Canis lupus familiaris: one gene and its partner. The main gene of each other region encodes a partner of the protein of the gene in region 2 in a complex. Links are inferred from orthologs where the notes say so. Each region holds a gene or a part of one and is shown on either strand. Other genes may lie near its edges. The genes, in order: BCL10 and MALT1.

The links.
Region 1: the proteins of MALT1 (region 2) and BCL10 are in contact, whole or in part, in a cryo-EM structure (PDB 6GK2), measured with the Homo sapiens proteins. The link is inferred for Canis lupus familiaris from reciprocal best matches to the Homo sapiens genes MALT1 and BCL10. Residues at the interface, in NP_006776.1 of Homo sapiens: Asp46, Gln47, Ala48, Pro49, Trp54, Arg55, Leu74, Glu75, Ser78, Leu79, Val81, Leu82, Glu83, Pro84, Glu85, Gly86, Pro88; in NP_003912.1 of Homo sapiens: Leu13, Lys17, Val83, Arg87, Asn93, Gln97, Thr100, Leu104, Arg107, Asn108, Leu111.

The regions. Positions count from the first base shown.
Region 1 is NC_049227.1:63,254,463-63,262,814, reverse strand, and holds the start of BCL10 (B-cell lymphoma/leukemia 10), read right to left. Parts: upstream 4,774-8,352; 5' UTR 4,507-4,773; coding exon 4,450-4,506; intron 1-4,449. UniProt on the Homo sapiens protein: Plays a key role in both adaptive and innate immune signaling by bridging CARD domain-containing proteins to immune activation.
Region 2 is NC_049222.1:17,510,895-17,519,006, reverse strand, and holds the start of MALT1 (mucosa-associated lymphoid tissue lymphoma translocation protein 1), read left to right. Parts: upstream 1-2,812; coding exon 2,813-3,108; intron 3,109-8,112. UniProt on the Homo sapiens protein: Protease that enhances BCL10-induced activation: acts via formation of CBM complexes that channel adaptive and innate immune signaling downstream of CARD domain-containing proteins (CARD9, CARD11 and CARD14) to activate NF-kappa-B and MAP kinase p38 pathways which stimulate expression of genes encoding pro-inflammatory cytokines and chemokines.

The DNA of each region.
Region 1 (8,352 bases), on a different chromosome or scaffold from region 2:
GAATTTAAGCAGTGAGGATGGAGGGAGAGAATTGATTTTAAAGCTGAACTCCTTGAAAAACCTCATCTGCTGTCATCTCTACTACTTACATACTGATGATCCCCAAATTTGTGTATGTGATCAAGACTTTCTCCACTTAGACATCCCAAAGCTACTTGAATCAACTTGTCTAAAACCAAATTTGATATCTTTGCCTGTCCTTTCCATTTGATAGTCTTCACTCATTTGGGAGTACCACCATCCAGCTGATCATGCGATAAACCTTCAACTCATCCTCAACTTCCTCTCTGTTGCTCCCTTGCCACATCTGATCACCTACCCACCAAGTCCTGCCAACTTACCCCTTGTATTTATCAAATCTGCCCCTTCACTTCATCTTTATCATTAGCATTGCCTTAGCTCAGGTCTTCGTCATACGTTGCAGGGACTATTAACAAACAAGACACCTAGCTGTACTTCCCATTTTTTTCCTCCCACTCAAATTTCTCCTTCACACATCTATCAGATCTTCCAATTTTTCAAGAGAAAATGAAAATCTGGAGTGGAATTCTACTAATATTGAAATGTTGTCAGTTAATTTTGTAAAAATTTAAAACAGTGTGTTCCACCAACTTAAAAGATAAAGTTCCTCAACTTTGGCAGAATAGTAGAGAGGTCAAGAGTATGGCTTTGAATAAGGCCAATGTCAGTTTGGATCGTAATTTGCCATATACTTCTTTAAGAACTGGGGCAAGAAACTTAAGCTAAGCTTCAGGTTCCTTATTTGTAAAATAGTGATAAACACTTACCCTGCAGAACCTCTAGAAGGACTCAGTAGGACAATGAGTATGAAGGCTTGACACAGTCTCTGATACACAGTCAGTACACAATAAGTAACAGCTATTTGATAATGGCAGACAGGGCACTTCATAGGATGGATCCTGCCTCTGGAGCTTAATCTGTCACCACCTCTAACTGTCCTGGTACTTTGTGTTCTACCTAAAACTGTCACTGTGTAGTTCTTCATGTTGTCACTTTATCTGATTTTCTCTTCTCATACCCTAAGTCCCTATTTATCATTTATGATTCAGCACAGTGGTCACCTCCTTCAGGAAGCTTTGTTTAAACTCCCCAGAAGGAATTAGGCACTCCTCTCTTCTGTCCTTGTAGCACCCTGTGCATATACTTCACTTTTCTACATACCACAACTATACTTCCTATCTCCCAATTCATTTCTATTCTGTATCATTACTCTTCTCAGCCACCAAGAACCTCGTCACTGTCAAATCTCATCCTCATTTGTCTTCATTTTACCTCTCAGCAGCATGGACACAGCTGACCACTCCCTCTCCTTGAAATACTGGTTTCGTGAATACCACACTCCCCTGGCTCTATTCCCATCTCTGTGGCTATGACCTTTCATTTAAAACAAAAAACAAAAAACAAAAAAACCAAAAAACTCCCCTATGATCTCCCTTTTCCCTTCTAGCTCTCAACTTTCTAGGTGAACTCACTCAATCCCACAGCTTGGATCTCCTTTGTGATCTTCAGATTTGTAGGTCTAATTGCTGATCTGACATTTTCACTCACCAGTCTGACTCTACTCTCTTTCTCAATTCAATCCATCACCAAATCTTAACATTTCTATTTCAAAAATGCATCTGGAATCCTCCTGTTCCATCCATTTCTACTGCTTTCCCCCTGATCCAAATCACCATCAGCTCTTAACTATATTAATTCCATGAATTAATATAGTTTCCCTCTTCTCACTTTTGCTCCCTTCCGTCCATACAATAGGCAAAGGGATTAAAAATATTAACATAGTTCTTCAGCAGACCCCTACTACACTTGAGAAAAATCCTAATACTTTATTACCATCTGTAAAATCCTCCATGATCTGGCTCTAGGCCAACCTTCCTAACTTCTCAGAGCACCCTCTGCCTGTTTCCAATTTCCCCAAGTCACCAAGGTCTTGCCTGTTTTAGTTCCTTTACAAACCTTACTCTGCCTAGAGGATTATTGCCCCAGTTCTGCTATATTCTTCAGCAACCACTTTAAATGTAACCTTCCCTGACCGTCCTATGTCAAGTTGATTCCCCCTGCTACTGTCTCAATACCTGTTTGTCTCCTTCATAGTACTTAGCATAATTTGTAAGCATATATTTGTCTTCAACCTTAATGACCTATATGTTTGAAGCAGGCAAAAACCACATTTGTTTTGTTCAACTCTGTATATCCTGCACTTAGCAGAGTGTCAAGTAGATAGTGTTCTAGATGAATGCAAAATTCATTGCACTTATTCTGTAATTTGCAATTATTAATTTATGTCTGTTTCCCTCCTTCCAGGAAATTAAGCTCTTTTCAAACTGGGATTGCGTCTTAATTTCTAATTTTCGAATTGTTAGAACCATGCATACCTCACAGCAGCATGTAATCCAAAAGATGAGGTAAACAAGTTGATGGGGGCAGGGGGAAGGGAGGAGCATAATGAAAGAGTGGGACTTTCCAGAAGGCTGGGGTGGTGGCATACTATCCATCAAGACAGAGAATATAGCAAGCAGCTTTGGGGAAGGGATGATAAAAAGTTCAATTTCTGACAAGATGAGGAGTGTACAGAACATAAAAGTAAATTTCCAGTAGATATTTGGAAACAAGCATCTAGAGTTGACAAAGAAGGAAGTGCAAATATTTGTATGATAATTTTAAGACTGAGGTCATCAACCATTTTGAAAATAGCATGAAAAAAATCTCTAAGAAAAAAAATGTGCACATACATTTTTTTCATAGACCTCCTGAGACCCCTTCATGATTCCCCAAGATTATGAATTGCTGAGATAGCTGTAAATTGAAATCATGGAGATGGATAGTATCAATGAACTGACAGGGAAAAAAAGTGAATAAAGACCTGAAGACTGGGGATCCCTGGATGACTCAATGGTTTAGTGCCTGCCTTTGCACAGGGCGTGGTCCTGGAGACCTGGGATCCAGTCCCACATCGGGCTCCCTGCATGGAGCCTGCTTCTCCCTCTGCCTGTGTCTCTGCCTGCCTCTCTCTCTCTGTGTCTCTCATGAATAAATGAAAAAATATATAAAAAAAAAGAGAAAAAATAAATAAATAAATAAATAAAAAAGAGACCTGGAAGACACTCTTCACAACTGTGTTTGTGTACAGGTTTTATATTTATGCCCAACTGTAACCTCTCACAGCACTGCTGTAAAGATTAAATGGGAACATTGCAAATTATGTGACAAAGATTTTGGAACACCACAGGCTTAGCTCTTGAAGTGCATGGTTCCACTGGCACCAATCTTATATAAGACAACACTCATTTATTCTGTGGTAGTTATCAATGTCCCGGTTTTATCTCGACTAGAATATAAAGCAGAGGCCAGATTATCTTTTTTTTTTTTGTATCTTTCCAGGCCCAAGGACAGTGCCTTCCATATACTAAGCGCTCCATCTGTATCGCTGAATGAGCAAACTAAGGCACAAATCCCTGTCATATCCAGTTTCCTTCTGTTAATGAGTCATTCCAATTGTCATTATGTAATTATGAGTGCAGTGTAATAAACCTTTCAAGGGAGAAAAGGGGGTAAGCATCTAAGGTAGATGAACATCTAAAAAAGCTGCTGTCTTGTCCAGTTCACAAATATAATTCTGTATTAAGTGCTGCAGAACTCATTTTCTGTTGGGTTTCTGGTTTTAATTCGAAATTACACGAAGTATTTTGGGGGTACTCCTACAGGTCTCACGTGGCAAAACAAGTAATTAAAAGCAAAAGAAACGAGATACCTCAACAAATAAGTACTAAGATTTGTGCAGTTCTGCAGCATCCAAGCAAAAGGGCATAATTTAGGTACTGAATATTTTCAGCATTTACCTGTAAATTAATTTTCGGCTACACCCACCCCCCAATTTAAATATGTGGGCGTTTGCTTACTAGGGGAATTCCAGGTTGTGCTTTCAGCTGTTGAGCTTCCCCCAACCCCCCTTTATAAGAGAGTTTCACATATTTGCTCCACTGCTTGGAGCCTTTCTCGGGTCCAGCTGTCGCTCCAGGTTGGGCCAGCAGCCTAGGGAGTGTGACTCAAGGCGGAACCTGGGCAGTCGACTCCCGACGACGCGGCCCCAAAGCGCAGGGGTGGGGGGTAGAGATCCCCGGGGAGGAGTGGAGAGTCGGCAAGAAGCTGAGTGCGGTGAAACGCTCCACTGGACAGGGTTTCAGAACCCAGCGACCTAAACGTGGATTAACAGGTCACGAGGGGTCGCTTCCACCGAGGTCCCTCGGGCGCCGTCGTGCAGCAGCGCCCGGACCTGGAGCCCCTCGGACCCGCAGGCTCCTGCTCCTCTCCGGCTCGGACTCCCACTCCGCGTTTCCGCTCTCCTCGCCCGCCCGCCCGGCCGGGCCTGCCCCTGCCCACCCGCGACCCCCGGCCCTCGGCGGCGCCCGGGCAAGGCTGGCTACTCACGTCCTTCTTCACTTCGGTCAGGTCCTCCTCGGTGAGGGACGGCGCAGCGGGCTCCATGGCGGAGGAGCGGGGTAGCGCCTCTTCCGGGTCCGGGAGCTGCGGCGGCACCGCCCGGCCAGGCAGGGGACTCGGGCCTCCGGGTGAAGCGGCGACAAGGGCAGGCGGAGCGGGTCGAGAGGAAGAGGGCTGCCGCTTCCAAAACAGAGGCTCACGGACGAGCCCGTAGAGCTTCCGGCTCCGCCTCTGGGGCCGAGGGCGCCGCAGACCTGGGCGTCCCCCAGCGGGCTCCGCGCTGCGCTCCTTCCTCTCCCGGAGGCGCCGGCGCAGGCCCCGCCCCCCGACGAGGCGGGGCTGGCCGTGGGGCCCGCCCCCTCCCAGCGGGAGCCAATCGCTGCCGGCCCGGGGCCCGAGCCTGGCCCCGCCCCCGGCCCCGCCCACAGCCCCCGCGCGTCCTTTGCCGGGAGCGTTTCCGTGGGTGGGGCCCGAGGCTCCTCCCGCCGCAGGCCCCGCCTTTGCGGACCGCTCGCCGGCGGAGGCGGGTCTCTGCCGGACCGTCCCCCCCGGGCTCCTCCCCTTTCCCCAGACCCCGCCCCGCAGCTTCCGGCCGCTGCCTTAACCTACTGAAGCTGTGGGGTTAGATACCCGCCTGCTCGGACGCGGCCCGCGGGCAGCTCCGCTGCAATAGTCAAGACTTTTTTTTTTTTGTCAAGACATTTTTGAAAGAGAAAAACCGCCTATAATCCTTTCATTTTAGCACTCGATTTAACGTCAGCATGCTTTTTGGTCACTTTTTTATGATCCTGTTTCCTTATTTGTTCCATCTGTGTGATGAAGGGATGTCTACCTTACATCCCTTATGGGCTGCTGTGAGAATTAAATGATACTATATATGTAAGGTTCTCAGAGGTACTTGGCATACAGTATGAACTCCGTTTATGATGATCTTTTACTACCCAAACACTTATTGAGTCCTTACTAATATGTCTAGTCATCTTATCTTAGAAGAATTCTATTTTTATGGGGGAGACTGATAAGCAGACAACTACGCCCAGAATGGTATCTAACTACTAATGGAAGTGTATACAGAACAACATGAATAATGAAGAATGGGGACACCTGGGTGGCTCAGTGGTTGAGCATCTGCCTTTGGCTCAGGTGGTGATCCTGGGGTCCTGGGATCCAGTCCAGGATCGGGCTTCCCACAAGGAGCCTGCTTCTGTCTCTGCTTCTCTCTGTGTGTCTCTCATGAATAACTAAATAAAATATTTTTTTTTAAAAAAAGAATGAATAATGTGGATGAGAAGTTCAAAACACAAGACAATGGGCCCAAGACAATGGTTTGGACAACATGCTGAATAAACTCCGTGGTATTTGAAGCAGTGAGGGTAGACAGGACAAGAGGTAGATAGACAAAGACAAACTTGGGAAGTCCAACATTTTTTGAAAGTAAACTCTACACCCAACATGAGGCTTGAACTCACAACCCAGTATCAAGAGTTACATGCTCTACCCACAGAACCAGCCAGTGGGATACCTCTTGAGAACTCTAACATTTAAAGGAAGGGAAAGCAAAAGAACCAGAAAAGGACAATGTTGCCAAAGCCACACAGATGTCTCTTAGCAGCTTCGGGCTCCATCATAAGCTTCTAACATTTACATTACATCATGTGTCTTTTCCTACATTGATCCACAGTACAGTTTTATCTGATTGCTTAATCTTCCCTCATCTTGGTTTAACCCAATTTACTTAACCATTTGTTCTTTCATTTTACAAATATTTATTGAATGTCAACTATGCACCAGACACGGTTTTGGGGTTTGGGGAAACAGCTATGAACAAAATAGGTAAAAATTTATTTCTTCCTGGAGTTTAAAGTCCAGCATACATGTGTTTCAGGGCAGAGCAAATAGACATTTGGAAAATGATATGTAAAGTTATTCTGTTAGAAGATAACAAATGCTAAGAGAAAATACAAAACAGGATAGTAGGATAAGGGTATATGGGATGTTAACAGTAAAAAAAAATATTTTTATTCAACTATAATTAACACAGAGTGTTATATTAGTTTCAAGTGTACAATATAATGATTCAACAATTCTATACATTATTCATCACTCAGTACTGGAGTGGTAACGTTTAAAATAGGGTAGTTTGTGAAGATCTCACTGAGAAAAGGAGATTTAAGCTACCACTTGAAGAGAGTGAGGTAATGTCATGTGGACATTTGGAGAAAGAACATTATGAGTAGAGGGAACAGCCAATGAAAAATATCCAGTGGGACTGGGAAGGAGATGAGGTCCTTGTGTGCTACTGTAAATGTGTAACCTGATTTTACTGAGTCATATGGGTGTACTCTGAGTCAAAGGGGAAGCCACTGGAGGGTTCTGAGCAGTGGAGTGACATGATCCGATTTATGATTTGAAAAAGGAACAGTTTCACTGTTGCCTTGAGGAGAAGGAAGATGGAAAAAGGGAGACCAGTTAGGGTGCTGTTCCCGAAATTCAGGGTCTGGGAGGTGGTGGCTCAAGTCAGGGCTAGAAGCAGCAAGGGTGGTGGGAACCTTTGGGAGAGAAGTGGGGATGCGATTTCATTTCCTTCTAAAAGGGCTACCTTTGGCTGCTGAGAGTAGACTGTAGGTGTAAAAGTAGAAGCAGAGACAGCTGGAGGCTACCCCAGGGATCTAGGGGGAGATGGGGGTGGCGTGACCAGAGTGGGAGCAGTGCTGAGCACTCCCTAGTGGTCACCTTAAGTTCTTCTCACTTTGTCATTGTTATAAACAGTTTGTCTCCCATTTATTCATCTACATGTTCTCCATCCTTTTTTCTTTTGAGTTATCATTTCCTCTGCACAAATTCTCAGGAGCAGGAGTACAGAGCCCAAGGAAATGTGTTTTCATATATATATTTCCATACTTTCTCTCCAAAGTCTTGGTCCATCTGTGTGTGTGGAAATGAACTGTTTTGCCACAACAATACAAGCTCCGCTGATGAAGGAGAGGATACAGCATCCCTTAAAGTAAAGTGATTTCAACGATGCCAACTTGACACAACCATTTCAATGTAGCTATTAGGAGTTGGTCTATTGTTCTTTTTTATTATTTATTTATTTTTATTTTATTTTTTTTTCTAGAGAGAGAGCACATGTGCATGTGTGTGTACCCGTGGAGGGGGGCAGTGGCAGGTAGGGGGGTGGGGATGAGGGGTAGAGGGAGTGGGAGAGAATCTTTTTTTTTTTAATTTATTTATTTATTCATGAGAGACACACAGAGAGACAGAGGCAGAGACACAGGCAGAGGGAGAAGCAGGCTCCATGCAGGAAGCCTGATGTGAGACTTGATCCTGGGACCCCAGGGTCATGTCCTGAGCCAAAAGCAGATGCTCAACCGCTGAGCCACCTGGGGGGCGGGGAGGGGGGAGAGAGAGAGAGACTTAAGCAGACTCCACTCCCAGCACAGAGCCCAACATGAGGATCAGTCTCACAACACGGAGATCATGACCTTAGCAGAAATCAAGAGCCAGACACTCAACCAACTGAGCCACCCAGATTGTTCTTTTTTTAAACAAAACATTTAAAACACACCACACTGTGGAGAAAAATATTACAAACATCTATATTCACTGCCAATGTTTGGCGAATGTTGATACTTTGCCACATTGCCTTCTGTTACGACTATTGATCACCAAATGTTAGTGTCAGACACCTCTTATTCTTGAGACTTCTTTCATGACTCTTGCCATACATCTGACTTTTTCCTCATTGTTGACCATTGTTTCATTTCTGACACTTCCAACCTCATTCTGTGCTCAGTGTGCAGTTCTTTATTCATTTACTCAGCTAAAAGGTAAAGTGTCTGCTATGTGGGGGTTCAGAGAGAGGATCAGGGGTTGAGAGGGACTGAGTGA
Region 2 (8,112 bases):
TGCATTTAAAAGCCAGATCTCCACTCTCCATTTTACTCCTATCTGCGTATGATTGCAATGGTTAGCATAGGAAAGGAAGCGGAATTACTGCTTATTACTTTGTTCCCAAAATTAATGTGGCAGTTTTGAGAGTACTAATATACCCTGCATCTACTTCTCCGAGACACTTTTTATATGTATACATTATTTTTTCTCATTTCATCCTCACAACGTCATTTGAAGCAGGTACTATTATCTTCTGCTTTTTACAGACGTAGAAATTGAAGCTGAGAGGTTAAAGTAACTTGCCTAAAGTCATGTCTCTAATAAGTGGCAGCATCAACATTCAAATTCAGGGCTAATTCTAAAGGTCATAATTTTCCCTATTAAACCATCATGCCCCTTAAGAGAACCACAGGGGGTGAAATTACATAATAAAAATGTTAATATTTGATTAAGAGGAGAAAAAGACCAATCGTAAGATGTAATGTCAGTCCATGGCAGAGGTTGGAGGGTGGTGGGTGGGGTGACTGAATAGATTATAAAACTGCAAGGTAGGTAGGAGGCACCGGGCTGGCTCAGTCAGTAGACCATGGCATTCTTGATCTCGAGGTTGTGAGTTCAAGCCTCACGTCGGGGGTTAGAGCCTACTTAAAAAAATAAAACGGGGGCAGCCTGGGTGGCTCAGTGGTTTAGTGTGGCCTTCAGCCCAGGGCGTGCTCCTGGAGACCCAGGATCGAGTCCTACGTCGGGCTCCCTACATGGAGCCTGCTTCCCTCTGCCCGTGTCTCTGCCTCTCTCTCTCTCTCTCTCTCTCATGAATAAATAAATAAAATCTTTAAAAAATAATAAAATAAAATAAAACAAAATTTCAAGGTGGAAAACAGGACCCAGAGTAGAATGAAATGTGGGAGGCAGTCCTGCTGGCAGGAGAAGAGTGGGTGAGGAGGACATGGGAGGGGATGGACACTGTCAGTATCTAGCTGAGCTATGTTGGATAAAGAAGCACCTGATCAAATTAGGAAGGATTCCCAGGGTGAATAAGATAGATGTGCCGAATAAGATAGATGTGCATTTGACCCCCAGGCACATTTGAAAAGCTGCATAAGCAACGTTGAGCACATAGCAGACTTAGAGAAAAGAAGCCGGTTGAATCCCAATTTTAAAAGACTAGTTGACTAATAAAGACTAGACCAGTAAAAACTAAAAGACTTGATTTCCATAACTGGCCCATGCAAGCTAATAGATTGTCCTATATGTCCGATGACTAAGAACAAAACAGGGAGGCACCAAGAAGTGTTCGGGAAAGGTTATCAAGTCAAGCTGAGTATGAAACAAGCTTTTGCGTTTGTAAAGATAAAAACTAGCATTTGTCACCTACTATGTGACAAGCAGAGTTAGGTGCTTTAGGTACATCATCAGCTCCCTTAATTCTGGTAACAAGCTTATACACACTACTGTGTCTTCGGTCCCATTTTAACAGGTGAGGCAGAGAGTTAAGTAACTTATTCAAGGTCATAAAACTAGAATCCAGCAGATCTTTCCGGATCTAAAGGCACTTGGCCGTTGCATTCTCTGAACTCTGCATTTACACCGGATGAAAAAAAGTATAGCGATTGCTTGTGCTTAACGTGATGGGAGACTGCAGGGATCAACTACCTCGCCAGAAGGCTGCAAGAGTTGGGTACAGGAAATCCTGCTGCCCTGTGTGATGAAAAACCTAATGGCACCAGAAATTGGGGGGAGGGGGGCAATCTGGCTGTGGTCGCATTTCATAAGTTGCTTGCTTTTGCCCCAGGCTACTCCACAGTCTTCAATGGGGGGGCAGTCTGACTCGGAGGAAACCAGACCATTCCTGCTAAAAACAATCATTTGCAAGATCTGCCATCCAGTTAAGAAAAAAAAAAAGTGTAGGCACAGATTTCGAGCAAATTTCCATTAGGTATCTGATGTCTAGGAACCACTTCCCTTAGCAATGCCTACACATCAAACCCTAAACGAGGAAGCCTCCCCTGAGGTTGCCCAACGCCGCTGCGGGTGGCGCCGCGGGCCGCACCGAGTCCCTGAGTCAGCTGAGCGCGGCCGGGCCGGCGCTGGGGAGCCGGGCGCCCTCCCCGCGTCCCCCGAGCGAGGCAACCCTCCTCCCACGGCCTGGGAAGCCCCGACGCCGCGGGCGCCCTCGCCGGAGCCCAGCCGCCCGGGCGCAGCCTCCACCGCCTCCTCCGCCGGCGGCAGCCACCCGGTCCTTCCCGCTCAGCCCCGACCCCACCTCCCCGCCCCGGAGCCGCGCGTCTCAGCCCCGCCCAGGCCCCGCCCCCTCGGCGCTGCACCCGGGCCTAGCGCGCAAGGAGTGGCCCCGCCCAGGCCCCGCCCCGCCACAGGCCCCGCCCCGTCGGCGCAGCGCCCGGCCTAGCGGGCAGGGAGTGGCCCCGCCCCAGGCCCCGCCCTCTCGGCGCCGCGCCAGGTTCCCGCAGCCGCGTGCGCGGGGGGCCGGCCCCGCCCCAGCCCAGGCCCCGCCCCGGCCACGCCCCCTTGACGCAGCACCAGGTTCCCGCAGCCGCGCGCACAGGGGGGCGGCCCCGCCCCGCCCAGGCCCCGCCCCGCCCCATCCCAGGCCCCGCCCCATCCCGGCCCCCGCCCCCGGCGCAGCAGGCGGGGCGGGGCGCAGCGGCCGGCGGCCCCGGCAAAGCTGTGTCGGCGGGGCGGGCGGGCGGCGGAGCTTCCTCCTCGGAGAGCGGTGCGGCGCGGCTGGGCTCGTCCTTCCGCCCCTGCCTCCGCGGCGCCGGGGCGAGCGAGGGGGCGAGCGGAAGGCGCGGCGGAGCCGAGGCCGGCGATGCGGCCGGCGGGAGGCGCGGCGCTCGCGGGGTCGCTGTGCGGGGAGCTGCTGCAGGCCCCGCCGCAGGCGCCGCAGGCCCCGCAGGCCCCGCAGGCCCCGCCGCCCCCGGGCTCGCAGCCGCCCCCGGCCGCGCCCTCGGGGCCGCCGCTCCCCGCGCCGGGCGGCGCGACCCTCAACCGCCTTCCGGAGCCGCTGCTGCGGAGGCTCGGCGGGAGCCTGGACCGAGCGCCCGAGGGCCGGGGCTGGAGGAGGCTGGCCGAGGTGGCGGGGAGCCGGGGGCGCCTCCGGCTCAGGTGAGGGCGGGGCGCGGGGCGGCGGGGGCGGCGGGGGCGGGGAGGCGGGCGGGCCGGGTCGCCTGCAGGGCCCGCGGGAGACGCCGTGGGGGGAAAGGCCGAACCTGGGACTCGCCGCCTCCCTCCATCAGACCGACCTCCCGGGGCCCCTCCTCGCGGGCCCGAGGGACGGGGCTGGACGCAGCACGGCTGGCCTCTTCCCGGGCCCGGAGCTGCCGCCGTGGGGTGTCGGGGCTGGTTTACACCCGGCAAGTACCGAGGACCCCGGAGGGGGCTGCCCGCGCGTTCCGGCTGCCGCCCGCATACCCGGGGTGGACACCGAACACGAAGCGTTAGGTATGCTGACTTTTTAAAAAAGAGTAATCCGTTACATGTTCACAGAAGTGACGTGTTCTTCTTTTTTGGAAAAAGAGGCTTTTCCAAAACAGGCAAAAAGTAGTTAGACAAGAGGCATTGCTTTAGGTTGGGAAGGTCCCTTGCACGTCGGGTCCCTGTTCCGTGTTGCTGCCTTCAGTGGGCCGCGCTGTATCCCGGGCCCTGTGACGCCGGATGCTCCAAAGTGTACGTTTCCTCCGAAGGTAGATGAAAACGGTAAATAGCATCTCAGTGTTCCTGTGAAAGACCGTTTTGACCTTGCGGTGCCAGGGTCCCAGGAACTGCACGAGAGATGCCCAGACCACACTTTGAACCGCTCCTCTATACCGTTGTTGGGATTTTGGTCTGCCTGGGAATCCCTGAGAAGTTCTTGTAACTCCTTATGTGACTAAACCTTGGCTTGTACTGTGATTATTTCTACGCTTTTGATGAACTCCTTGAGAACAGGAGGCATCAGTGAAGATTCTGTGTTCTATGCGTGGAACCTGTCTTAGGCACTTTGGAGTAAATACTTTGGAAAGGGGAGTCATTCATTCACAGTTATGTTTGTTTTCAGGGCCTATTATGAGCTGGAAGTTCCAGAGGATAAAAAGATGACAAATATTTTATTCCTATTCACAAGGGCCTACCTAGTAATGAACTGTTCTTCTGGGGCATTCACAAATAACATGTCCAAAACGCTGTGTGGGATGTAATGATAACAATAGGTTATCATCTATTGAACACTTAGAGTATACTAACGCACTAAGCATCTCCATGTGTTATCTACTTTAACCCTCACAACAACCTCGAGTTTCAGAGTTTGGGGTTAAACTGGGGTCATGATGATTTAGGGTTCTTTGGCCACATGTGAGGTTGGAATTAAGAAGTGGTAAACTCACAAAGTTGAGCGGACAGATGGCACAATTTTCTTTTCCGGGGGAAAAAAAAAGAAAACAAAAAACATGCTTCTTTTAGGGAGAGGTGGTTGTGCAAAGAAAAATCCAAAATACTATTACATTAGGTCCATAGGTTTCTGAATTTCTAGACTTAACAACAGAAAAGTGTTTTCTTCTTTGGAGATCAGATCATCAGATCTGGGATTGGTTAGTTTGTGATTCGTATGCTAGTTAGAGAAGGCTCTGGACTCTGCTGAGGAGGGCCTGGGAATGAGGACTCCTAATTTGGCAGTGGAGGAAAGAAAAGAAAGGAAGGCCCTGCGGCTGAAGAAGCTTGGCTGATGGAATCAGAAAGTGATGGATACCTGACATCACACACTCAGTGTTCCTCCCCAAGCCTCCAGTTGGGTTTTCCCAAAGGCTACAGAATGGTTCGTTTGGCAAACTAATAGAAAAGTCTGAGGCCACATCTCTGATGAAGGTAGAATGGAGAGAAGGGCAGCAGCCTCGCAAGGGGTGACAGGCAACAAAGTGCATATATTCCTAGAACCCGGCAAATTCCAGGGTGGGAGGTCTGAAAAGAAACGGATAGGGAAAAGAAAGAAAGAAAGAAATAGATGGGATTTCACCAGACTTCCAGGTTGGTGAAGATTAGTTCAGAATAGGTGAGTGATGGTGGGAGTGGGGGCACCCCTGCAGGCTGGGAAATAGGAGAACATTAAAGTCATATACTTAACAAAATCAGAATTAAGTTGGCATAACAGAAGGAAACTAAGGGGCTGGAGAGTGACATCTGAGGAGCAAGGTAAGCTGGGGACGCTTTCTCTATGTAAAACCAAAAAAAAAGCTATTTCAGAGTAATTTCATACTGGTGCTAGAAGAGCATCTATGATAGCAGAAAATCCCAAAGATATTTTTCTCTAGTGTGAGATCAAGGAATTAAAGTGTGACGGTCCAAGTGGACCACAGTTCCCATAAGGATGTGGACTTTTTCCCTAAGGTCTTCACAGGTTGCCTGTTGTTTCTTTCCACTTTTTTTCTGACTCTATACATGTTTCCTCAAATAGATGAGAATTTACTGAATCAACCACAAGAGCCCATCCTGAACGGTCTCTCACGGATTAGGAATAAATGTCTTCATATGATTCTGGGTGACTCAGAGTCCATCCAGGTTTACGCTTTAGTTTCCCACGACCGTGTGCACACGGAAATGCCCTAATTACAACCTCAGCCCTAATTCCACTCCTAACCACCCTGCTACTGAACAGCCTTTGCTGTCAGTGCAGCTAGATGCAGGTTCCGAGTGTCTTGGCCAAGCTACGTAAACTGTGTGCTGGTGTGGGACCTCGGAGCCCGGGAGGTGCCAGAACTTTCAGGAGGCTCTCCTGCTGCCTGGACTCCATGCAGAGAGCTTGGAAGGGGGCTGTGGGATGCGGGCCAAGGAGACCCATCACAGCGCACCTGCTGCACAGAAGGCGTCTTCAGCTGCAGATTTCTGCCCTCACACAGTTATAAGCATGAGAACCTGTGAAAAGCTGAAACAAATTTCTCCTGTCTCTTCAGTGTCAGAAATTTGGAGTGCTGTAGGGTTCAGGCCTTGTGTCTCCACCTACACGTCCTCACCCAGTCCCCTTCTTGGTGTATCCTTAAGTCTCAGGGTGGATTACTCGGTTCCTATCTTTGCTTTGAACCCCCTGGATTCGTTAAGCGTATCACCTCCAAAACTTAGCACATCTTCCTCCACAGCCCTCTTTCTCATGCAGTTTTCTTTATCTCGGGAAATAGCGACTGCACCCCTCCGATCGCTCAGGCCCAAAACTTCACCATCAGCCCCGACTCTGCTTTTACACAGCACATCCGTGTTATCAGCGACCCTCGTCTGCTGTACCTCCTGTGCATCCGGAGTCCAGCCTCTCTCACCTGGATCATTCCAGGAGCCGCCTGCCTTCTCCCACTTTGCCCCTGCCCCCAGGCTGTTCTCAGCATGGCAGTGAGAATTATTACTACTTTTAAAAGGTTCAGTCGAGTCTTCCCCTTCTTCTGCTCAAAACCCCTTAACTGCTTTTCTGTTTCAGGATAAAAACACCAGTTAGCTAACCACCTATCTCTTGGACGCTGTTGTCTTCCTTTCTTTGCTCTCTGCACACTTGCTTTCTCGCTTTTGACTTGAACACGGGAGGGTCTTTGTACTTGCTGTTTCCTCCATCTGAGATAGTCTCCACAGGTGAACTGACTCCCTCCTTTACCCCTTCAAGTGTTTGCTCACAAGTCACCTCCTTCAATGAGGTCTTAAGTGATCACATTATTTAAAAACACCCAGTACGTCCACTCCAGCATTACTTATTCCCCTGCTTTGCCTTTTTTTGCTCCAGAGCACTTATGACCATTGGATGGACACACACACACACCTCTCTCTTTGCCTGCCAGTGCATGTGTGTGTGTATATATATATGTAGTAGTAAAATCCAGGCTGATAGAGAATTTTGTCTTGTTTGCTACAGTATCCTAAAGAACCTAGAAAAAATGGTTGGCCTATTTTAGATGACTAATGAGTAGTTGCTGAGTTAATGAATAGAGATTTCAAAGAGTAAATGTTCCAAGAAGAGAAGCAAAAGAACCTGAAAGCGGGGTCATGATTTGTACCCTAAGGGATGCATGATGTGTTTTATTTGGGTATATATTTTTTTATAGTGAAGATAAATAACTTTTTCTTAAAAGCAAAACCCGTTTGTTTCGGTAATAGTCTTTCAACTTAAATGAGAAATTCCAAATTAGGGCTGATAGAAACCACTTCAAAGTATAGTCTTACAGGAATGTAACTAAAAAAGGAAAGAAACGGTCTGGGTATGTAGAGGCATCATCTTAGCTGAAAGCCAGGGCCCGTGCGGAAAGTCAGTAAAAAAGGAAAGGAGATACAGAATCTTGTTTTTCTCCCGTGCCTCTTGTATTGGAAATTTTTGTCTACTTCAGCTTGGCCTCTTTCTTCATTTGGAAGAAAGAAGTCAAACTGTTTTTCTCTTTCTTCTGTATCAGTATAAACATCAAAGCATCACTTGGCTGCATTTGATGAGATGGCTTCTGAATTTTATGTACCAGATTCTGACTACCTTTCTGAATCATAAAATATATATATATATATATATATCATACAGCATCCTTGTTTTTATAGATCTTAATTCTAATTATTTAAAAGAATAGTAATCCTTCTATTGTCTCTAATACTGGTTTCTTGACCTGGGTGTTACAGGAACTAATGAAAGGAAATTTTACGGAATAGAGGACCAGCAGGCATCCATCCCCAGCTTTCATTGTTGCTGTCATCATAGTCACCATTATTCCATAAAAGAAAGGACACTTTAAAAATATAGGAAAGACCATCTTGAAGTAAAAGGCGGTCATTATAGTCCTTATTTTTATCATTTTACCGTGGACTTCAGATTATGCTGCCACTAGTCTACAGTCCAGATTTTGGGAACAGTTGACCTATGTAATGATGAGTCACATTTAACAAAAATAGGGTATTGAATATACACATAAATCTGAGACACTTAGAAAGGAAAACCTAGTGAATTTAGAGACAAGAGGCCTTGAACAACATGATCGGGATTACCAAACTAGTAACTACTTAAAAACAGTTTTAAGGAAAACCTAAAACAGTTTCAGAAATCAGCATAATTAGGAAATTAATGTTCTTTTAATATCTCATATTTCTACTGCATAATAAGAACTCCCTTTTTTTTTTAAGATTTTA